Linked DNA regions of Xenopus tropicalis. The protein of the gene in region 2 interacts with the protein of the main gene of each other region in a pairwise test. Links are inferred from orthologs where the notes say so. Each region holds a gene or a part of one and is shown on either strand. Other genes may lie near its edges.

Region 1 (3,830 bases), on a different chromosome or scaffold from region 2:
GAACAGAACATCTCCACTACAGCTATGGCATCTGTTTTCTGGAATGCTTGAGGTTTTTTTTCATAATATGGATTGTTATACTACCACCAATATTGATTTATGGTACCTTATTAGGGATTGACTACATAGTACAGTTTTATTATTACAGAGAATAGGGAAATGCTTTCTGGATGTCTGATTCTGAGTAAGAGATCCCATATATCTATCAGCAGATGTTAGCCTACATTTTTCGTTAGTTTGTTGCTCACATGATTCATTGATTTGAGTGTGACGGCAATGAATGAATTTGTGCACAGACTTGCCTTGTGTAATTACCTTAAAATAGTAGACCTGCCCTTGTCAAACACTGGCTGCAAAATACTATCACTACATATTGTGTTACAGAAAGTTTTGTACAGAACTTATACCTTACTGCTGTCTTGGATGGCATAATTGATAAGCATAAAGATATATGGTCACCATAGACTGCATATTGTAATTGTTTACACTGATAGCTGAGTAAACATTAAATATTGTGTAACTGACAGATTTTTTTTCCATTATATTAATAGCTATTACCCATACTAACCCTTCCTTCCACTCATAGGGCCCTGACAGACAGGGAGATTAGTTGCACAAATCTCCCTTGTCGCGGGCGACTTAATCTCCCTGATTATGCCATCCCACCAGCTAGAATATAAATTGTCGGTGGGATGGCATACGCAGCGCGGCGTTTTGCCGAAAACATTGACGTTGCCTTGAGAGGAAACTTCTGTGATTTCGGCGCCGCGTATGCCATCCCACCGGCGATTTACATTCTAGCCGGTGGGATGGTGTATCGGGGAGATTAGTCGCCCGTGACAAGGGAGACTTGTTGCGCGCTGACTAATCTCCCCGTCTGCCACGGCCCTTAATGAACATGTAGGAAGGGTGGGTTAGTATGTAGGATAGCTATTAAAATAATATATTATAATATAACAGAAACCATTATTGTATCTGCTTTAACTGTATTTTTTGCATATTCTAGAACCGAAATATGTTGATTCATGTCACAGGTTTTCTTTATTAAATTTAATAGTTCTTGTTCAGTACCAAGCTAAAATATGCATTTGGGCTGTTAGAATTGTCCATAAAGTTCTGAGCTGCCCTCTGGTATTTGCAACCACTTCAAGCCAGAGTTTAGGTGCAAAAACTGGATCCTACTTACACGTTCTGTATTTGTAGCTGTTTCCAGCCTATGTATTCTGCTGTCTGTCCTAACTTAGAAAAATTAATTAAAAGTGACACAAGGCCAGAAGTGTCATTCTTCAGTGTCATAGCTGAAGTATATAAGTTCTCAATACCTCTGACTGATACAGCTGTAGAGTGACTGCTTCAACTGGGCTGGGCAACTAATTTACTTACAGTGGCACTAATGTCTCAAATCCAGAATGGCAGCTTACCACCACTTTCATCTAAATGTCTGAATTTCATAGACAATACTAAGTAAAAAATGAGTAGAAACCTCTTCGACCATCTTCACTGTCAGAAAGAAGAGAGCTCAGCAAAGAAATAGAGACAGAGCTTCACACTAGACTAGGAAGTAGCAGAGAGATCTTGAGTTGAGCTGCTTGTAATACAGAATGTGCATGAGAGTATTGTTCTGGGCACTATTTAGAATCATTTTAGATACAGGAAAAAAAGTTTACTTATTCTTTCAAAATAGGTATTGCAGCATAACTCAACATGATAACTATAAAGTTGGAGAAACTGCAGTTACTCTTTAAGATAACATTTTCTTTCCTATGTAATGTAGTTTATTTAACAGTTCAGCCTAATTTGTCTTTATTTTAATTGGCTAGGTTTGTTGGAGAGGCGATATTCATTCGATAAGCACAAGGGGGGGATTAAGCAATTCAGTCAAAAGCCATGTCTGTTCGGGAGTCTTTCAATCCAGAGAGCTATGAGCTTGATAAGAGCTTCCGCTTGACTCGCTTTGCAGAGCTGAAAGGCACTGGTTGCAAAGTTCCTCAAGATGTTTTGCAAAAACTACTGGAATCTTTGCAGGAGAATCACTTCCAGGAAGATGAACAGTTTCTAGGTGCAGTCATGCCAAGGCTTGGTGAGTATATGATATTTATTAGACCCCAAGCTAATAAGAAAGATACATCAATAATTTAATAAAATCATGTTCTCTTTTTCATTTTTATTGGGTTATGTCATACAGTCACAAAAGTAGGTTTCTGTGTGATGCTGTTTAGTTATTGCAGCGTATATTTTAGTTGTGAATTAATTTTCTCCAAGAGGAAGAGCAGACCACCCAGCTAAGACAACCTTAAATATTTTTCATTGGTGATATTTCCTTTTAAGGTTCTTTTAGAACTAAATAATATTTTTAAAAAATGCAATAAATTTTGATGTTTAACACAAGAAGAATCAGTCGGGTAATAAGAGAAACAGACTGATTCTAGATTAGGAAAGGGGTTAGGAATGGCTTGCACATGCGCCATAAAGTGAAAAGCCAAACTTTAACAAAAAAGCCAGTCTTTTCACTCTACTGTGCATGCACTGGCCCCGGGATTACCAAAAATAGATGAGAAAAGGAAAAGGATCGCTACCCTGGGCCACTGCAGTATTCTCCCAAGAGGAGCACCAACCCAGGGTATAAGGTAAGTGATTACAATCACTGGGGAGTTGACTAACATTTTGGTACACACCAGTTATTGTAGCTTCTTCTTTAATGTGGTAAATTGGTTGGTTAAATATTCGTTCTGGGAGTATAGTTTTCCTTCATGTGACCTGATTTTATTGAAAAGCACATTCTTAGTGGTGTTCTATGCAGTGGCTATTGTTGCTTGATTGGATAGAATTATTGACAGTTTAACTAAAACATCAATTTTGGAAGAGCCAAGGTGGCAATAAATTGCTTTATCAAAGGGATATTGTGTTAGCCAGACCTGTGTTCTTTCAGGTGTTTTCACAGTGATGCAAAGTAAAGATTACTTTTAAAATTGATCTTACAAAGAAACAGAATATGTTGGCCTTCTTCCAAGTAGTTAGTGTACTCTAAGGATTATAGAACCTGTTTGCCCATTTGTTGCTTGTAAAATACATAGCCACGATCATTTGGGATAGGGATGTGCATACAAACAGCTACAGATCCCACATCCCACAATTCATTAAACTGGTGCAAGAATTTGTGTAGTGTAGTTTGAATCATCTAAAGCAGCACTGTACAAAGTGTTTATTTTAAAATAATCTGATCATTTTAAATTGATGACATCATACAAAAAATATATGCTACCTAAGGCAAATATTGCTTGATAGACGTATTTAGTACATGCAGCCTTCAGTGAATTTTTTGCGTGGACTCAATATTTTTCCTTTTGTACCAAAGAAATATTTCTGGAATAAGTATATTTACAAGTACTAGGTACAGTTTATCCAGAACTTTTCAAGGGTTGAGATCCATGGGTAGATAGTGTTTTGTTTGCTTTTGTTTTTGCTAAAAGTATAACTATAATATAAATGACATGGACATTATTTATATTCTGCTTGATCCCACGTTCTGTTTATTTCTATTGGATTTTTAGAAGCATATTTATCAAATGGTGAGTTCTAACTTTCACTCATTGATAAATACACTTCTAAAAATCCCATAGGAATGAATAGAACGTGGGTGAGTTTTTTTTGTATTAAGCTCTAAACTCACATTTTGATAAATCTGCCCCTTCAAAAACTTAATTTCCTCACAGAAATACACTGCAACAAGCAGTCTGACAGCAAATGAGAAGCTACAGCTCATCTAATTTCCACATCTGCTGATGAACCAACTGTTTGCCTTAAACAAGCTTTTCATTTTGAACAGGGTA
Region 2 (4,277 bases):
GTATGTAATGTTAACTAACTTATGTGAACTTCATGTTAATGACTGGCAGCTTTTGTTGAACCAAATCATTCGGCTGTAACCCTTTACAAAAGATTCATCTGAATGCCAAACCAAATCTGGGCCATAATTTGCATATTCAGATTTGATCAAGATATCAAAGATCTGCATAATCCAACATCAACTGTAATTTTTAAATTTTTCTATGCTCACATGATTTCAGATATGTATTGGTCAGGCTGAACCAATTCCTGGATACATAACCAATAGCCCTGTATATAAAAGGTTATAGTAATGACCTTGTTTCAATCTTTTCTAATCTTATTTTGAAGGTGAATTATATTGAATATTGGACAAGGGAGTGCTAAGCTTACTAAAATATTTTTGGGACCCTATATTTGACTGGACCTATAACCTGTGCAGATAAATTTGGAGATGTACACAGGGCTGCTCCACAATTTCCATAAAACTGACTCAAAATACTGTAGCTAAAGTGTTGGCAGTCCTTATGTCTCCACTCAGTTGCTTTTCAGTTTGGCTGACCCTTATCTATTGCTATTCCTGTACCTGCACTAGAAATCTCCCAAAAAGAAGAAGCCTATTGCATATACACAAATGGATCCTTGCACAATAACATTGGGAGGCATGGATGATGAAAAACACAAAGCTTTCATACATAAGGCCTGCTCCTATAACAAATCACAAATTGGCCTGTACACTGCACTCCATCCTTATCTGCAAGTAATTTGAGGATTTGTTTTGCATATTAAGTTTAGATTTTATGGTGCCGTGTATTTGTTCCAGTAAACTAGACAGGAAAACACCCAAGGTTAGTAATGGGCCCTAATATAAAGGCTGTACAAGGTGACTAAATAATACCCTTTCCATTATAGAAGCCTCTCCCTGGATGTGGCAAGTCCAAAGTGCATTTTATTTGAACAAATGTTGTTTTTCTGCTCGTAATGAATAAGCTGTCATGATATTTAGGTCATAACAAACCTGGACTGGTGAATGAAGATCATCTTGAAGTAGTTTGAAAATGCTGCAAGAACTGCTCTGTGTGCTTTAAAATATACATCTCCAATTGCAACTGTGCAGTCACAAAGAAATCCAAACTCACGCTGCATATTCAGCTGCTGGAGAAGGACTTGACTGTGGCAAGAAGAATCCATAATTTCTTTAAAAAGAACAATAAAAAAAGTATGGTCAGTACATATATTTGAACCGTTTATGGGAGTTATAATGTATTTATGCATGGGCATGAGAATATGTGGAATAGGCAGTAATATTTAAAAGAAAGAGGGTCATTATGAACAGCAGAGGAGCCGTTGACATAATACAAATATAATACAATATGAACACCCAAATTCTTGGAAGCCCTTCATCACATACAATTTTGTCGCCCAGTAATACAAAGCTTTTGTGAATATTGCATTCACTGCATGTTCAAAAGCATTATAAATAAGGCATGGCCTCAAGTAAACTATATAAAATATAATTTTTCTATAAAACTTTGTTGTTTCAGGATGTGCTCATATAACTTATAAGGGACCTTGGCATCAAAATAAGAAAAGTTTTTATTTGTAACTAAAAATAATATAATATTTATTGATAAGTATAAGGGTTAAATTCTTCAAGCGCTTTTGTTGGATAGTGTTGGATCAACAGAACGCATCTGACAAGTTGGATAAAGTTGTGCAAGTCAAATTATAATCAGAAGGGAACGCTGCATGATGCATCTGCATCTGAAAAGATAAAAACTGATGGCATCGGAAAGACTGTTTTTTACTCTTCGAAATACATTGACCATGACACACATGTAGACACATGAACAAAAGAAAAAACTTTATCTGACCAGATATTACATTAAACTCTAGAGAGATCAGATTTTTTAGAATCCTACAAAATCTTGTGCTGTTGCATGCTGGATCAGGTTAAATCTGACCCACAAAATCTGATCAAATATGCTAGTGCAGTTTAGCCCTTAGTGATCAGGTAGAAATTCCCCTATGTGCTCAAGGCTACCAGTAATGACTGTCTCAATTGTAATTTATCTCCTTCCAGCTTTTCTCAGAAATGCACTCTGCCACAGCATGTGAGAGAGATTATAGGTGTTTTTACAGTTCTGCAGATCAAGGGGGGCAGGCTGGGGTCTTTTTATACAGAGTAAAATAAAAAGAATTTCTCTCATTACATATAACACAAATGCAGTTTTTCATAGGCTGGAACCACTACATAATACACCTATAAGGTTACTCCTCAGGGGATTTCTGATCATATTCTTCACGGTTTAAGAAATAGAGATCTGAAGTACAAAACTGTGCGTCTGCAGGTTGTACATTTCTGATAACTAGTAAAATATCTATGTGGGGCTCATTTATAAACATGGCAAAATTAGCACATGGGTAGTAATCCATCAAGCAATCATGGTTTATCGTTTTAGCCAGCTGCAGGTTGAAAACAAACATCTGATTGGCAGTCTTGGGTTAACGCCCTGGCACAAATTTGTCCAGTGTTTATAAATGCACCTTCTAAAATAGCAGTCACATGATATGATTTTGACTTAAAAAAAAGTCCCATCATTAAAAAGCAGAAAGACTGAAACAATAAGAATTTGCAAGGAAAATATTTTAACACTTGAATTAAGCCACATTTTTCAATTTATATTTTAAATCAAGAACTTGGTATAAGACGACTTTATTGAAAAAAGTCAGAATGTTAGACGGCACATTAATTCCACCAGCTAAATGACACTGTTACGGCGGCGTCTTCTCTACATGCTGCCCAAGTATTTCCAGCAATCTTGTAGCTGCGCTCCCTTTTCATTTTATTAAATGCGCAATATGCGCAGCGCCAGCTCAGACCTATAATCCATTGAAAGTGCAGAATAGTGGGAATGCCATTTCCGCACTGCGGCCAGGGCCGGCTCAATAAGCCGCCACTAAGAAAACTCACAACAGCACAACCATTCATAATGAAACCGAGGAGTAGGCGGGGACCAACGACTCCCTAAGCTCCTCCCACCATAGCCCGCTCCCCCATGATTCCCCGCGTTCGCTCACCGTGCACAGCAAGCTTTCTCCCAGTACTTGTAGAACTGCTTGTGGCCACCGGCTCTCGTACAATCTCGCGATGGTACCATCAAGGGGGCAGTCATGTGACCGTTCCTTATGGCTAACTGAGAGTATACTGTGGCTCTTGCGGTATCTATAGGTTACGATAACATTTAGTATTTCAACTTTTGGCTGTGCAAGCTGTTTCCAGCTGTATCTCAAATTAGTGACAAGTCGTACCTACTCACCTCCAGCAAAGGGGTGCCAAAGTTACTTTAAGGGTTGGAAAAGTATTGACGGGCCATAGGTACATGGGCGTGCTGGGGTGGAGACTTACGTAAGCTGGGACAATGGAGACTAATGGATGGGGCGCTGCCCAGAGTTCCGTGTAAGGTGCAGCTTGTCAGACATTTTCTGGATTTTATTGTTTGGAGAAGCCAAGTTGTCCCGCATAGTTAATGGTTTCTATCAGAATCCCTAAAATGAATGCAGTTGATATATATTTATACAACTGGAAAGAAAGTGTTTTGCTGCCTCAAACAGCCCAGTCCACCATATGCAAGAAATTGATGCAGCTGCTGGCCAAGCTATACACACTTACAGCTAATACAGAGAATACAATGTGTCATGTTCTTCTGCGTAGGCACCAGGAATATATGCTTCTGATTGGCTCCCACTGCCCTTAAACATGGCACTTAAGTCATTTTCTGTTGCATGTCTGTGTTATAATTATCCTTTCTCTAATATATTTGTGTAAGTACTATGGTCAACAAACGCCACTCGCCAAGGTGATATTTAAAGTATATTTAATGTGTGGAAAAGAGTTACAAAAGTTACATACAAATTACCAGTAATTAAGCCAGTCACAAACAATATTGACAGCTTCCCGATACAATACAAAGTATGTATGTATTCATATAAAATAGTCAAAATGTATGCATGTGTGTTAGAGTAAATGTGTGTAAGTGAGAGCTTGTGTGAGTGTGTAAGGGTTTGTGTGTCTGTATATCTGTGAGACCAGCCTTTTGTTGTTGATATACAGTATATCCCTGCTGGAAAACCCTCCCCCACTGTATTACCCTTAAGACCATATGTTTCCGATCAACCACATTCCAGACTTAGGGAACAATGGTATATGTGAGGGATAGTGTATGTATAGAGGTATATAGTGGCAAGTCAGTTTGCACATTTGAAACATGTTAACCCATTCAGGCCTGGATACAACTT

The links.
Region 1: the proteins of zbtb25 (region 2) and sephs1 interact in binary tests that used the Homo sapiens proteins (3 or more experiments, as listed by UniProt). The two-hybrid records come from large-scale screens. The link is inferred for Xenopus tropicalis from reciprocal best matches to the Homo sapiens genes ZBTB25 and SEPHS1.

The regions. Positions count from the first base shown.
Region 1 is NC_030679.2:81,800,734-81,804,563, forward strand, and holds part of sephs1 (selenide, water dikinase 1), read left to right. Parts: intron 1-1,820; 5' UTR 1,821-1,887; coding exon 1,888-2,080; intron 2,081-3,830. UniProt on the Homo sapiens protein: Synthesizes selenophosphate from selenide and ATP.
Region 2 is NC_030684.2:101,006,525-101,010,801, reverse strand, and holds the start of zbtb25 (zinc finger and BTB domain-containing protein 25), read right to left. Parts: upstream 3,010-4,277; 5' UTR 2,971-3,009; coding exon 2,862-2,970; intron 1,175-2,861; coding exon 997-1,174; intron 1-996. UniProt on the Homo sapiens protein: May be involved in transcriptional regulation.